Oryza sativa Japonica Group: one gene and its partners. The protein of the gene in region 1 interacts with the protein of each later gene in a pairwise test. Links are inferred from orthologs where the notes say so. Each region holds a gene or a part of one and is shown in the gene's direction. Other genes may lie near its edges. The genes, in order: guanine nucleotide-binding protein subunit beta, guanine nucleotide-binding protein alpha-1 subunit, guanine nucleotide-binding protein subunit gamma 1 and coleoptile phototropism protein 1.

Evidence for each region.
Region 2: the proteins of guanine nucleotide-binding protein subunit beta (region 1) and guanine nucleotide-binding protein alpha-1 subunit interact in binary tests that used the Arabidopsis thaliana proteins (3 or more experiments, as listed by UniProt). The link is inferred for Oryza sativa Japonica Group from reciprocal best matches to the Arabidopsis thaliana genes AGB1 and GP ALPHA 1.
Region 3: the proteins of guanine nucleotide-binding protein subunit beta (region 1) and guanine nucleotide-binding protein subunit gamma 1 interact in a two-hybrid assay, tested with the Arabidopsis thaliana proteins (2 studies listed by BioGRID, with this or other methods). The link is inferred for Oryza sativa Japonica Group from reciprocal best matches to the Arabidopsis thaliana genes AGB1 and AGG2.
Region 4: the proteins of guanine nucleotide-binding protein subunit beta (region 1) and coleoptile phototropism protein 1 interact in a two-hybrid assay, tested with the Arabidopsis thaliana proteins (2 studies listed by BioGRID, with this or other methods). The link is inferred for Oryza sativa Japonica Group from reciprocal best matches to the Arabidopsis thaliana genes AGB1 and NPH3.

Annotation. Positions count from the first base shown.
Region 1 is NC_089037.1:27,271,368-27,275,580, reverse strand, and holds the start of guanine nucleotide-binding protein subunit beta, read left to right. Parts: upstream 1-1,348; 5' UTR 1,349-1,527; coding exon 1,528-1,636; intron 1,637-1,764; coding exon 1,765-1,859; intron 1,860-4,213. UniProt on the Arabidopsis thaliana protein: Guanine nucleotide-binding proteins (G proteins) are involved as a modulator or transducer in various transmembrane signaling systems.
Region 2 is NC_089039.1:15,701,862-15,705,876, reverse strand, and holds the start of guanine nucleotide-binding protein alpha-1 subunit, read left to right. Parts: upstream 1-1,194; 5' UTR 1,195-1,536; intron 1,537-2,903; 5' UTR 2,904-2,983; coding exon 2,984-3,076; intron 3,077-3,174; coding exon 3,175-3,247; intron 3,248-3,496; coding exon 3,497-3,534; intron 3,535-3,615; coding exon 3,616-3,705; coding exon of another isoform or gene 3,706-3,724; intron 3,725-3,853; coding exon 3,854-3,931; intron 3,932-4,015. UniProt on the Arabidopsis thaliana protein: Exhibits a fast rate of basal nucleotide exchange. Guanine nucleotide-binding proteins (G proteins) are involved as modulators or transducers in various transmembrane signaling systems.
Region 3 is NC_089037.1:25,117,342-25,121,508, reverse strand, and holds the start of guanine nucleotide-binding protein subunit gamma 1, read left to right. Parts: upstream 1-1,360; 5' UTR 1,361-1,615; coding exon 1,616-1,714; intron 1,715-4,167. UniProt on the Arabidopsis thaliana protein: Guanine nucleotide-binding proteins (G proteins) are involved as a modulator or transducer in various transmembrane signaling systems.
Region 4 is NC_089036.1:22,087,832-22,090,586, reverse strand, and holds the end of coleoptile phototropism protein 1, read left to right. Parts: intron 1-475; coding exon 476-1,266; intron 1,267-1,336; coding exon 1,337-1,957; 3' UTR 1,958-2,204; downstream 2,205-2,755. UniProt on the Arabidopsis thaliana protein: May act as a substrate-specific adapter of an E3 ubiquitin-protein ligase complex (CUL3-RBX1-BTB) which mediates the ubiquitination and subsequent proteasomal degradation of target proteins.

The DNA of each region.
Region 1 (4,213 bases):
ATGCCTATATTTATAGTCGATTATGTTGCATTATTTGTACGTGCATGTTGTCATGCTTGTCTGGAATATGACAGTTTTATCGGATTTTTGGAGTAATTTCTCGTGAGGTAGTATAATGTTCTTTGATGAATGTGGTTTCTATTTTCTTGCGTGTCCCAAACATTGCATTGGCTTAAGTTTTTAACCCTTGTGCATACTTGTAACGAAAGAGATTTGTGGATTTCAAAAGACAATATAACATCAGGGTCGTAATCTGAAATTGAAAGGTGCTTTTATCCGTCAAACGGAAGAAAAAAAAAAGGTACCCGTAGTGTCATTTTCGATGTTGTGGAATTAGTTTGTGGGATAGCAGTTGGTAGGCCAGATCTTTTGGCCATTTTCCTTCGTTGGTTTTTCTTGCCATGTGGCAACATGATTGACCTTTCAACATCATTCTTCTGTAAGAGCTGAGTTGTTGAATCAACCTTGCAAAGGGATCCCATACACATTGTAAAAAAAAAATGGTGGCGATTTAGAAAGAAAAGTATTGACGGTTACAAAGGGAAGTGTTGTAATTCCCATTTTTGAGTCATACTGTATTGACTTGTGAGCGAAATATAATGAAATCTAAAGAAATATTCTTTTATATGAAAGAATTGAACAGTTTTACAGTTACTTAAAATACAGATGTCATCATTCCATCCATTCTCACCGTGCGTAGGAGGTCGCGAAAAGGCTAACGGAGGATCGATCGCCCCTAGCGATCACCCCCTCCTTCACGTGGTTTCTTTTTTTGGCACCACATTATTTTTCTATTTTAGTAAATTTATGCATCTAAAGTTTATACACCCCAAGTTTACACATCTAAAGTTTAGAGACCCAAAGTTTATAAGTCAAATGATCTTTTCTATAAATTGATTTATAGTTCTCTATTTTACACATTGTATTCCGATTGAAATTCAATGTCATTTCATAGGATTTAGCCTTCGAGAAATCTCGTATCAGCATCGATGCATCTTCTTCTTCTTCCGAACTCTCTACACTCAGTTGAACAACAGAGAAAATCAAGCCACAGATACTACTAGCTGACAACAAATCAACAATAACTAGTTTCTCAAAAAAAAAAACTTGCATAAACATGTGACAGTCGCCCGCTCACACAACGGTCACTCCCCGGTGGTCCCTTTACCCCCACTTCTCCCCAGTCTGCCATAAAACCAACCCTACTACCGCGGGCCCCACGTTCAGGTGGGCCCCACATGTCATCCACATAAAAACAGCCTAGTCGGACACCTCCTCCTCTTTCCTCCTCCTAAACCCAACGCAACGCGTCCCCCAACAACTCGCCCCCCCCCCCCTCTCTTCCTCCACCCCATTTCGGCGTCCGTTTCTCGCCGCCGCCGCCGTGGTAGTATCCTCCTCCTCCTCGCGAGCTCCGGAAAGCTCCAGCCGAGGCCATTGCGTTCCTCGCCTCCATGCCCGGATCCCAGTAGATCCCCCCTCCCTCAACCAGCGCGAGGTCGCGGGGGGCGTGCGGGCGGCGGCGGCATGGCGTCCGTGGCGGAGCTCAAGGAGAAGCACGCGGCGGCCACGGCGTCGGTGAACTCCCTGCGGGAGCGGCTCCGTCAGAGGCGGCAGATGCTGCTCGACACCGACGGTGAGGTCCCCCCCCACCCACCCCTCCAACCCCCACAGGCGGTGGGAGCTCTCGAGGGCTCGGGGTGAATTTAGCGGGGTTTATTTTTTTTGCTGATTGTTTTGGGGTGTGTGTATGTGTATGTGCAGTGGAGAGGTACTCGAGGACGCAGGGGCGGACGCCGGTGAGCTTCAACCCGACGGATCTGGTGTGCTGCCGCACGCTTCAAGGCCACAGCGGAAAGGTTGCTGATCAGTTGACTTTCTGCCTCTCGTATCTCAATTTCGGTACAGCTTTTGCGAATTGGGGTTCGGTCGTACGGTTTTGGAGGTTGAATTGTGGAAGAAGAGATGGATGAAGTACTAGCACTTGTTTGCGATTAGAAATAGTTGCAACTGGTGCTAGACGGGGTGGTAGTGTAAGCCCAGTTAATTTCGAGTGAGTAAGATTCGGTGATTGGGTTGGTACCTCTAGTTAAGAAACTTGACATTAAGTTGAATGCATCATTTTTGGGCAAATATTGATTATTTGGTCTAATTTTGTGTGGATTTTAGCATGTTTTTAATACTGGTCAAGTTGCATTGTTGTAGATTAGAGTTAAATTATCTTGTGTTTAGGAATGTTGGTAGGAGGAACTTGAATTCGAGATGCTATTCAAGAAGAAGAAAGTTAATTAAGCACTTATGTCATATTTGCTGTTTTGCATGCTTTTGTTGCTTTATTTGCCTTATGTTATATAAATGGTAATACAATTAGTTGAACTGTGTGGTGTGTAGCTACTCTCTGGTTTTGAGGAGGTTTGGTTCTCCTATTTCTAAATATAAAGCCACCATTTGCCTTGAGGAACAAACTTTGTAAACCTTTATTGGTCCAAGAATGTTTTGGTCTGCTTATCCTTTACTGTGGGAAGCGGAGAAAGTCTTCTTTTATGGAGGTTGCTCTTGTTATAAAGGATAAGGCTCAAGACCTTTGGTTCACAGGAATGAGATGAAGGTGGATAAGTAGAGTAACTTTGTTAAATGCTATATTTTGTGTGTAATAATAAAAAACCTGTGTAGGTAGATGCACTTTTGGTTGCTTCCATCCTTAGAATTCCATTCTTTACCTGTGTATTTCATTTTCAATCAGAGCAGGGGTTAGTCCTTTTCCTTCTAAAAAGTGAAATCGCTATGATACTTTACAATATTTAAGCATGTGTTGGCTAATATTTTTTTATAGATGGCATTACATCCTAATCAGATAGTACTACCCATAGACAGAACTAGGTTGAACTAGATTGCAATTTTGACAACCAGTTCATCATTTACCTGTTTAGAATTCTATCGTCCCCTAGAAATGTTGTTTCACTTGTGTCCATTGAATCAACCAGAGTCATATTCTAAAAAAAGTGCCAAAAATAGGTTTTGTTAGAATGTATTCCCCATATAGGCAATACTGTTTTTGTATATTTTATGGAATAAAATTCCACTAGTTGATTTGCAGAAGCAATGTCACAGACAACCATCGCTGGCTGCCTCCCTCCCTTATGCATGGAATGGTAACATGCTTATTGCAAAACTTGGACATGGTTGAGTGATTTGGTATACAAACATTAGTCTCTCCTAGGAGGATAGTTCAGTGTTTATTTCTCCTTTCTAGTCACAGCTGCATGTATTCCCTTTGTTCACTTTTATGCGGCATGGTTTGACTTGTCATGGTCTCAAAGATTGTTACCATTGGTTTCTCTTATAGTATATTGATTTTTTTTATGGTACTCTTAATTACACCTTGGTCCAATGGATGGCATTCATATTACCTCATTGGAGGTAATAGATCGCGTAAAAAGGAAAGAAAAATAAAATCATGAACCTGCAATAAAAATTGTTTGCCAATAAAGTAAGGGACAATTGTGTTTGTACTCCAGCTTTCAATCTCCACTGTGATTTTGCCCTCACTTTTTAGGGTTTGCAAATTTACCCATGTTTTTTCAAAATGAAGTCACCGTTTACCCCTACTATGGATGGAAGTTAGGTGGGTCCCACAATAATGAGCTAAGGAGACATAAAAAAGGGGGAAAAACGATTTTAGAAAAATGAGACTACCATTCTACCCTTGAGCATGTTCAGTCTCCTGTTATCCTCCACCGTTTCCATCAGATCATCCACAAATCCTAGACCTAGAGCATGCGGCAGCGGTCGTGAGCCTGTGCGGAAACACAAGCAGGTGGTGGCTCCTCGGCGCAGTGACGCCAGCAGCAGTTCGCGGCAGCGGCAGCGGCTCTGGCGAGCCTGTGTGGAAATGCGAGCAGGTGGTGGCGGTGGCTCCGGCTAGCCTGTGCGGAAACGCGAGCAGGCAGCAGTTCCTTGACGCGTTGAAGCAAACGGCAGTCCACGGAGGCTCCGGCAAGCAGGCGGCGGTGATTCCTCGGCGCATCGATGCAAGCAGTAGTCTGTTTTTTTATGGCGGCAGTGGCTCCTCGGCAACAAATCCTAATCCTAAGTTGTGGCTTACAGACTCTGCATAACCATGGCTCTGGGCTAGAAGATTGCAGAGTAAACCAACTGAAATCCATGGTCGATTCTTGCCTCTCTTGAGTTCATATGATGCGACTGTCCAGCT
Region 2 (4,015 bases), on another chromosome or scaffold:
AAGCCAACCAAAGGAAAGTGTTTGATCTGCAGTGGAATACTAGCAGGTATTCCACCATTTCAGGGTTGGGAGTGTGATTGATATGCAGGAGATTGACATTGTGCAGAACATTGGCCGTCAGGCTGCCGCTGCCGTCGCCGGTGGTGTCGGTGAGAAAGCCCGGTGGTGGTGGTTGTGCCGGCGGCGAGGAGTGGCTGCAACAGGATGGGCTGTTGTGCATGGGCGGATCAGCGGGTGGCTTATGGCGGTGGCCACGCTGTTCGCCGGCGACGGACCCGGCGGCGGCGGCCTTCACGAGGGACGGCGCATGATGATCCTGGATAATTTCGAGACTTCGGGCCGGCGTGCGTGCAAAGCCCATACATATTCTACGCGCAACTGTCACGCACAAAAACGAAGTTTTTAGTACCACATGGAAAATCTATGACGACTGACACCGGCATAAAAGACGACGCGCTCGCATCGCTCCTGGCGAGCTCGGTGGCGTGAGCTTGTTACCCCAGCTGCGGGGGGGCGGGAGTTGGCATGTTTCGGCTGCTGGAGAAAATGAGGTTTCTCCCTCGATCGAATATGGATGCAAACATCCTCCCGACTTTGGCCCACGAGGGAGGGAAGGTGTGAGTCACCCTGGGCTCTTGACGGCTGCGTCATGGAGCGAAGAGGACGCTGAATCGTGGGAGAGGTGTGTGGTGGCCGGTGCCCGACGACGGCGCCTGGCGATGCGTGGGGAGAAGGCGAGCAGTTGTATGTGAAGAGGACGCTGAATCGTGGGAGAGGTGTGTGGTGGCCGGTGCCCGACGACGGCGCCTGGCGATGGGTGGGGAGAAGGCGAGCAGTTGTAGTTGGGACCCGCCACACCCCGCACGTGCGCAAGTCCATGACGTGAGCGCTCCCGGTCATTAGGAGCCACGTCAGCTGGCGGCCTCCGCCGTTGAGCTTTTCCCTGCCAACCGACACCCTTCTCCCCACCCATTGGCGAATGCCCTAGAGGTTTGGGTTGAGATAGGAGTAGAGGGGAGTGAGGTGGAAGAAGATTGCTAGTTGGCTTGTGGGTTCCACGTGGGCCCTGCACTGACTCAGCCACCACGTCAACAAAACCGGAAAGCAATACTACCTTGGGATTAAAAGTGGACCGTTTTGCAAGATTAGGGGTTCAGGGCCGTTTAAAACTCAACGACAAGATAAGGGACCTTAGATGAACTTTTTTGGGAGATGAGGCGCCTGTGCATATGACCCATAGGCAGGCGACAACGCGGCAGCAGAGCGCTGCACGACCTCCGCCTCCCCAATCCGTCCCGTCTCCTCGCCCGCCGCCCTCGACTCCCGTCTCCTCGCCTGCCGCTGGCGCCGATCTCCATCCTGCTAGCAGAGGTGGCGCCGGCGTCCTCCTGCTCCCGCCGCATTCGCATCCTAATCCATCCCATCCGGCCTCGGCCTCGAATTTCGTCTCCTCGCCCGCCGCTTGCGCCGATCCCCATCCTGCGAGCAGAGGTGGCGCCCGGCGTCCTCCTTCTTCCACCGCATCGTCGCTCGCCGGTGAGCATCCCTCCCTACCCACACCTCATCAGGTATTCTGCGTTATCCCTCAAAAAGTTTGGGGGTTCAACCGAAACAGGGTTAGATCTGCCTCTGCCCAGCTCCACCTACTTTCAAGTTGTTAATTTTGATTTCCGTTTTTAGCAGATGTAATTTGGTTATTGAATCTCATCCAAACACCCTTAGAACGAAAAATGTAAGCTCACATAATTTGTACTCATCCAAACTCACATAAATTTCTTAAGAAGAATCTAGACCACAAACTACCCATAGTCACACAAAATATCTTTTTATCAAGGTATATTCTTATAAGTAATTTTTATTCCACAAAATTTTCTAAAGGACATACTGTGACACTTGGCATGAATCTAATTTAACATTCTTTCTTTATCAGGTTATAAATTGAAACCATTGAACGTACTTTGTCTTCCCGTCCCTAAAACATTGTGATATATCTGTAATATTTTAATATTTTTAATTTTAAAAATAATTTAGACTAATAATATAGATATTTAAATTAGGTAATTAGTAAATTCAAATCAACTATAGTTTGGAATAAAAAAACAAAATGATATATGCCAAGTACAATCTAATAACAATAGAATGCACTTTTGGTTAATGTTTACTCCTAATTTCTTAATTTCTAGTTTGGCTCCCCCCACCGTTATGGTAAAAAATCGTTATGTTTTAACTATTTATCTGCTAGAGCATATGTAATATTTATGTAAACTATGTTCTTTATTACCAATCAAAATAGACACCTTACCTACTTTCATCAAAAGAAATAAAAAATGTAGTAGGTATTATTCTGGAATACTCCTCGTCGGAAACATATGGAACGCATTTCCCTCAAAACGCAAAAACCGGGGCCCCGAGCCCTCGACACCAACCCCGTCAGATGTGAAGCCGACGGCCCAAATGGAGGCCAGCGGTGCCAATGCGTAGGCCACGCGTGCCTCTGCGCAAATCTTATCTCCCGGGAGGCTTCGCTCCACTTCCCTCCCCGAGTCACTCAAACCATCCAATCCCCCCACCTTCCCTTTCCTTGCCCCCATTCCCCACCGTCGCAAGGAAAAATATTATTAATAAACAATGATGTTGATGTATTATTATTAAACAATGATATTGATGTATTTCTAAATATTTTCACGTATTATTTATTAAGTGTCAGTGATTGAAATGGATCCTGGTCGGAAATGAATCCTGGTCGGAAAATGGTTACTAATGTTTTTCCTTCATATAATATTTCTGGATATGTATAACAATGTGGGTCAGCAATATTGAACTATGCAAACCATTACTCTGTACAATCTTTTCTTTTCAAATGCTGGCCACATTTCGCTCGAGCTTACTGCTCATGTATGCAGCTCATGGATCCTGAGATCTAGACGTCAACGTGCTTCCTGGAAAGAGAGAGGCTCAGGCATGAGAGCATACCTCTAAAATAATGTCCGTGCTTACCTGTGTGCTTGATAACATGGGCTCATCCTGTAGCAGATCTCATTCTTTAAGTGAGGCTGAAACAACCAAAAATGCAAAAGTAAGTTAGCACTCGGACTTATTGAACAAGTAAATGCTAACTCAATTCTTGATTTGAGAGTTGCCACATTTGGTTTCTTCTAATTCAGCTGGTAACAGTCTGCAGACATTGACAGGCGAATTTTGCAAGAGACAAAAGCAGAGCAACACATCCACAAGCTCTTACTTCTTGGTATTGCTAACTTTCCCAAATTTAAGTGGTCATTTTCCTTGTCACAATTATCTGTGCTACCTTTAGTATCTATTGGTTCAGAAAATTAATTGTTTATGTTGTTCCTATTTACCTCTATAAAAAAACCTTTCTCATGTTATTTCCAAAAAAAAAGAAGATAAATAAATGTATCCTAGAAATTTTTAGTTTGAACTTGTTCTCAATGTGGATCCATCCTTCTTTCTCTCTCTCAATTGCTTCTGTTTTAAGGTGCGGGAGAATCAGGGAAGTCTACGATATTTAAACAGGTGATGAATGTTATATTCCATGGAGAATCATAATCCGTACGCCGCTAGTTAGTCTGATGTATTCTTACTGTTCACCTGCAGATTAAGCTCCTTTTCCAAACTGGCTTTGATGAGGCAGAACTTAGGAGCTACACATCAGTTATCCATGCAAACGTCTATCAGACAATTAAAGTATGCAATACTGGAAAGGGTGTGTCTTTTTTTTCTTATTGCAAAGTGGGGATTATGTAGGAGATTCGACTAGGGATTTGTATTCTGTTCATAAGGAAATGCGTTCATACTTTTCCTTTTTGTCGAGTAATGTGTTAAATGTTAACAGATACTATATGAAGGAGCAAAAGAACTCTCACAAGTGGAATCAGATTCCTCAAAGTATGTTATATCCCCAGATAACCAGGTTTGTGCTTACTCTTTACTCAACAGTTAAAGCTAAATCTGTGCATATGAACATGTCTTGTTAAATCTGGGAATACAAACATTT
Region 3 (4,167 bases), about 2.2 Mb from region 1:
TCTTGAGATCAACTTGTTCTTTAATTCCTTAGAAAAACCTTGTGTGAATAAATAAGAATAATATGATTAGTGATTACTCTATCAGAAACATGTAAGATTTACCATCCGGTTTTTCTCATACAAAGTTTTTAATGAGACAATGTTAGATACAAGCTTATGCCTTATCTCATGTTTTCCTCACAGGGATTTTTCTAGACATAAAACAAGGCATGGATTACCCCTTAAACATTACATATTTCTGATAGAGTAATCACCAATCACATTATTTCTATTTTTTTCCCACAGGGTTTTTCAAAGGAACTAAAGAACAAGTTGGTCTCAAGATGGACTCGATAAAAATGAGGAGTGTTACAAAAGCATCATTAGGTCATATTTGATCTTATCAAAGGGCAGCAATTGCAGCAATCAAGTGAATCATCAATCTTGTAAAAGTCATTTTAAGGAGCATTTGTGACATATAAATAGCCACATTCAGAGGCTTAAATCTCCCCTAAATCCTAGGAGAATCCTAGGCATCATGTATACATACACTGTAAAAGAGGACATATTGAGATCAATAAAATTGATCGGATTCATTGTTCACCTATTGTTATCTAATAAAAACATCATATATCCGATACGACAGGAGTACCTGGTAGAAAATTTGCTTGATGTCATGATCGTTATGCTCGTGGATTATGACTTTGATGAAATGTTGCCGCATCTAGCTCTTGATCAAAGCAGTGGATCGATGGACTCATGGACTGGCTCATGAGTCATGACACCCATGGCGAAGTTAAAAAAACATATACATGAGATAAATGTATTTTGTTTACGTCAGCAAAAAAAATAATATAAAACATGTATTTACGGAAGAGCCAAACGAGTAAAAGAAAAGAAAAACGAACGCAAACGAAGATCAACAGTCCCATCGTTTCACACATACTTAGGTTTATCCATACAAATTATTAGCAACTTAAAAATGTAAATTCCTAAGTAAGGTTTTTATATACGTGTCTTTAGTGACTCAGAAGCAAATATTATGAAACAAACTACGATTAAAAAACATAAATTAAATATAAACTACTTGTTTGCAAAATCAATGTCCTACTACTCCCTTCGTCAAAAAAAAATCAGTACTAGATGTGACATATTCATATTTGTTGTACTAGGATGTGTCACATCCGGTACTAGGTTGGTTATTCGTAGGACAGAGGGAGTATATCTTACTGGATTTTGTCACTCTAAAATTAAGTTATAAAAATTAAAATTTGATTTTACAAACATAAAAATAACCGAAATGACGGGGCCAAAGAAAGAGACAATGGGAAAAGTATAAGACACATGCAGCGTCTCGCTCGACTGAACCTGAACCTGAAACTGAAACTGAAAACCTGTACTCCCAAGTCTGAAAGTTGCAGGCAGAAGATCCGTCCCGTACTCCCGTCGTCCATCATTCAGAAACCACAGCGAGAGAGACAGAGACAGAGCCAAAAGAAAAAAAAACCAACCTTTTCCGTCGCCACCCCGCCCTCCGTCCGTGACAACTCCACCTCCACTTCTCTCCTCTCTCGTCTTTTGCTGCTCTGCCCAACCCACCCGCACCACCGCACCCGCACCGGATCGAACGGCGGTGATGCAGGCCGGAGGAGGAGGGGACGCCGGGGACACGCGGGGGCGGCACCGGATCCAGGCGGAGCTCAAGAAGCTCGAGCAAGAGGCGCGCTTTCTCGAGGTCCGTCTCCCTCTCTCTCTCCTCTTCCTCCCTTGTTTCTTGGTCGACTAGCATTACCGGTCTTCTTCCCAAATTTGGTTCCAGAATTCTTGCAGTATTAAAGGTTAGATTTCATCTAGGAGTATATAGCAAAAAAGGGGGAAAAAGGAAAGAAAAATAGTTTCTTTAGGACTTTCTGTTATGGGGATTATTTGGTGTGAAATTAATGGAGGAGAGCATTTCAATTCTCCTCTGCAAAGGTGCCGCATATTCCGCCTCGAAATTAACGAAAATGCATGCTATGCTTTTTTGCCTAACATTTCGCTCGGCTCGATCATGTTCAATGATTCCAATCCCATGTTCCCATATGACCGAGCACGAAGCGCTCGCCATGTTTGTCCAAGGTTTCTTTTTGTTGCCTTCTGTCCGAACTTGCTTGATCCCCATGGCGGCCCATATGGGTGAGGAAATGTGGGGGGAGAGGAGCAGAGAAGTCAAGCGCATGTGCATGGTCGCCGTGCAGAGCCTGCTTGTCCTAAACAAAAAAATATTTATTTCCGTACCTTTTTGTGGGCCTTTTCTTTTCTAGTATTTCCTGCCTGACTATTTGTAGTTTGTAGAGTTCTTTTTTTTTTTAAGGATCTATACCAGAGCCCAGAGAAACAAAAGTGCTCTTCTGTGTCATCTAATGATTGGGGACTGACAGTGTACTCAAGAGTGAAGACTGCTTCAGGGATACTACTGAATACTGATGCCCCTTCCTGGGGACCTGTTTAGAATGGGTAGCCATGTGTTCTGGTTTGTTTTGTGAGATCCAATCTAGTTTTTTGTTGGATCAAAAGGCTTGCTGAATAAATGGTTCTCCTAAACTCTAAAATAACACTAGGATTTATGAAATGGTAAATGAAATTGATTGCTGCGAAACCTTAGCATGACTCGCTAGCCAATTTGTTCACTGCTGGTACAGGAAAGTACCGCTATGAATTCACTAATTTTTGTTGACATAGTTATTTTCTGTTACTTGATAGTTCTATCTGTTTTTGTGTTATTTTACAGTACTTATGATGTGTAAGGGGCATTCTGACATGATTGCCCCTTTGCAAAAATGACATCTGCAATATATCCTTGCTCTATCAACAAATAAAAAGGAACTTGTCTGTATGTTCTTTGAGTAATCAGCTAACCATTTTAGTTATGTGCATCACTCAAAATGCTTAATTTGTAAGTTCTTAGAATTAGACGCCAAATGAATACTATCATATGCTCTGTACTCACTATTGAGGAATCAAGATTGTGAAGAGAAAGGAGAACAATCATTCTAGAAGAATGTTTATCTGTTTGTTCTATAAAACTGTTTTAGTATTTTGTGTTAAATCTCTTCATTATGCACATGGGTACCAGTTTCAGAGGATACAAGTAAGTCGTAATGCAAATGTAGTTCTTCTTTTGTGGTAAATGCTGTTGTCAACATCGTACTGTAGTCTGTCTTGAAATAACAACAGTGAACAAATAGAATCAATTTAATGAACCACACAATAGAACTTCATTTTAGAGTTTTTTTTTGGGTGGTAAATGATGTTGTCAACATCGTACTGTAGTCTGTCTTGAAATAACAACAGTGAACAAATAGAATCAATTTAATGAACCACACAATAGAATTTCATTTTCGTTTTTGTAGTAAATCCTGTTGCAATTGGTACAGTATCACACTGTAGTTCTCATTCCTTCTCATTGGAGGAAGTTTTCTTCTTTCTTCTGTCAACATCGGATCTGTCACATACTCAGATGGGAAAGTGACCTTTGAAGTCATGTACTGTGAGTTTACCATACTCAACTGAGTAAATAAAGTAACTAGAAAATAAAACTACCAAGGACTAATGGGTGTTTATCACCTTTCTTTAGATAATGGAAGAATCTCACTCGGTCTCTATATCAGGGGTATACATAGCCACACTTATTGCAAACTTGTGATATACAATCACATTGATAAAAAGAAGTGGTAACAAGCATAAGAAAAAGAAAATTCCCAATGATCATAAAACCTGTTGTCCATGTGTATCGAGATCCATGGACCATGGCCATGCGCTCCAAAGTATGGCTGGGGCACGTAATTTAGTGGGTCTTAGCCTACTAACCCACTTCATAGAATTGATGGTTCACTGGCCTCCTAATTTATCGTCAAATTTATGCATTTATATTTGAAGAAAATGAACTAAAGTGCGTTCACTGGTTAACTCAACTGCCAATCTTTTTATCAGTAAGTATGGCTCACACTAACAGACACACCTGAGGCTCCTCGCACTGAAAGTAAAACCAAAATCATAGACATTTGGATCACATGAAGATGACATGCTGTCATGGGCAGGCATGTTTATGGGAGGGATTTGATGAAGTGCATAATCATGTGAAGTAATTGGATGTGGCCCTGGATCTCGATGGTGTGGCTGCGCTGCTGTGGTCGGGTGGAGTGCCAA
Region 4 (2,755 bases), on another chromosome or scaffold:
ACATTTCTACGGGCACCTAAAATGGCCTTTGCACGGGCAGAAACTGCCTATGGAAATGTAGGGTGTATTTGGTTACCGGTGACACTTTACTACAACTAAGAAGGTAGTGACAGCCACAATAAATTGCTAGCCACAAAATATAGCAAAGTTGACAAAAAAAATTGAGCATATGACGTGTAGAACATACTATTAAAAAAAATGTGTCAAACCATAACATGAACCTAATAAACTATGGCTGTCAAAAGTGTGGCTATGAAGTAAATAGACCATTAGTTTGAAAATATGGTGTATCCACGATAAAACTATAATGGCTACAGTTAATTATTTTGAAAAAAAAAACTGCACAAGATAAGTGCATGCTAACAATTGTAAAAGATTTACCCCAGACATTAACAAATTTGCACGGTGCATATACAGTAGCTGAACTGTTTCAAGAATTCCATCAACTAAAAACGTAAGTTTTTTTTTTTGACAGGCATGCGGTTCGACCTGATCGGCGCGGCGATCACCCACTACGCGTCGAAATGGCTCCCCGGCCTCACCAAGGACGCCCCGCTCGGCGCCACCCACGACGAGCCGTGGGCGCAGGCCTCCGCCGCCGGCGTCGGCGGCGGCGGCCTCCACATGATGATCATCTCCGGCGCCGGCGGCGGCAAGGACGACGTCCTCGCCGCCTGCAGCGCGCCGTCGCGCGAGCAGCGCATGGTGGTGGAGAGCATCATCAGCATCACCCCGCCGCAGCGGGACAGCGTCTCCTGCGGCTTCCTCCTCCGCCTCCTCCGCCTCGCCATCATGCTCAGGGCCGCCCCGGCGCTGGTCACCGAGCTCGAGAAGCGCGTCGGGATGCAGCTCGAGCAGGCGGCGCTCGCCGACCTCCTCATCCCCTCCTACGGCGGCCGCGCCGCCGACACCGCCTACGACGTCGACCTCGTGCAGCGCCTCGTCGAGCACTTCCTGGTTCAGGAGCAGACGGAGATGGCGGTGGCGTCCAGCCCCGGCCGCGGCGACCCTCCGCCGCCGCCGCAGCCGGAGTACTACAGCGGGAGGATGCCGCCGTCGTCCGCGGCCGCGGCGTCGGCGTCGGCGTCGACGGGCGGGCTGAACGCCAAGGCGCGCGTCGCCCGGCTGCTCGACAGCTACCTCTCCGAGGTCTCCCGCGACCGCAACCTCTCCCTCACCAAGTTCCAGGTCCTCGCCGAGTCGCTGCCGGAGTCGGCGCGCGCCTGCGACGACGGCCTGTACCGCGCCGTCGACTCCTACCTCAAGGTAACTAGCACATTACAGCTAGCTAGTTTCCGGTGATCGCCGGAGTTAATGGCGATCGATCGATTTGCAGGCGCACCCGACGCTGACGGAGCACGAGAGGAAGAGGCTGTGCAGGGTGATGGACTGCCAGAAGCTGTCGTTCGACGCGTGCATGCACGCGGCGCAGAACGAGAGGCTGCCGCTGCGGGTGGTGGTGCAGGTGCTCTTCACCGAGCAGGTCAAGATCAGCAACGCGCTGGCGAGCTCCTCCGCGGCGCTCAGGTCGTCGTCTTCGGCGCCGGGGGCGGACGCCGCGCCGGCGATGCCGACGACGCGGCGGCAGCTGCTGGACGGGACGCCGCAGTCGTTCCAGGAGGGGTGGGCGGCGGCGAAGAAGGACATCAACACGCTCAAGTTCGAGCTGGAGAGCATGAAGGCCAAGTACCTGGAGCTCCAGCACGAGATGGACGCGCTCCAGAAACAGGTGGACGGCCGCGGCGGCGGCGCGCCGTCGCCGGCGGCCGCCAAGATCGGCAAGCAGCAGCAGCAGGGCACGTCGGCGTCGGCGTGGAGCAGCGGGTGGAAGAAGCTGGGCAGGCTGGCCAAGATGTCCGGCGCCGACGCGGCGGCCGGTGGTGGCGTGGCGCCGCCCGGCGGCGGCGAGGCCGCGGCGAGGAAGGGCCCGAGAAGGTGGAGGAACTCCATCTCGTAAATGGAGTAGCTGCCTAGCTAGATGCTGTATGGTTGATTGGTTTCAACTTTCAAGTAATTTCATGGGTCTTTTGTATTTTGAGAGAGTCCATTTTGCTCAGTTTGATGTAGTGATGTTCATGGCGTTTTCAGACAGAATTAATCCATTTTATGCAGAGTCTGAGGACTACTCAAGCAGATGATTTTAGCCGTTGTCTCCTATTTGTCTTGAGAAACAATCGGTCTTCTTTCAGCTTAAATTTGAATTTTAAAACTGAATTTTAGAGTTGATTTAGGTCTTTTTTAAACCGTAGTTTATTTTTCAATTTTTACTTTTAAATCGTTAAGGACATGTACGCACGCACGCACATTATTTTTTGATTGCTCATAAGCCATTACGGCTTATAATCAGCGTATGCTAAACGATGGGCTAAGTTTGTTGGAAGATCAATGTATTAGTTCTAGAACTTTGAAATGATTCTTGCATATATAGAAAGAAATTTGTTTAATTATTTGTCTTTGTAGCTAAAGTGGTTTAATTTTTAAGCCGGCCGTTTACAGATGGAACTAATCGAGCGCGACGAACTGTATTAAGCCTCCCCCTGCACATGCCCGCTTGATTATTTTTTTTTCGTGTGTCTGTGCATGAGCCTGCCAAGCACCATCACTACACAACGCACCGGTAAGGAGGCAATATACTGCTGTGGGAAAAAAAAAACTGTTGCATGGGTAGGGTTTTGTGCCTATAGAACTGTAGCTTCTAGCAAGTACTTCCTCCATAAAAAAAAAGAAAAAGTCCATTTTACACCCTCGAACTCTT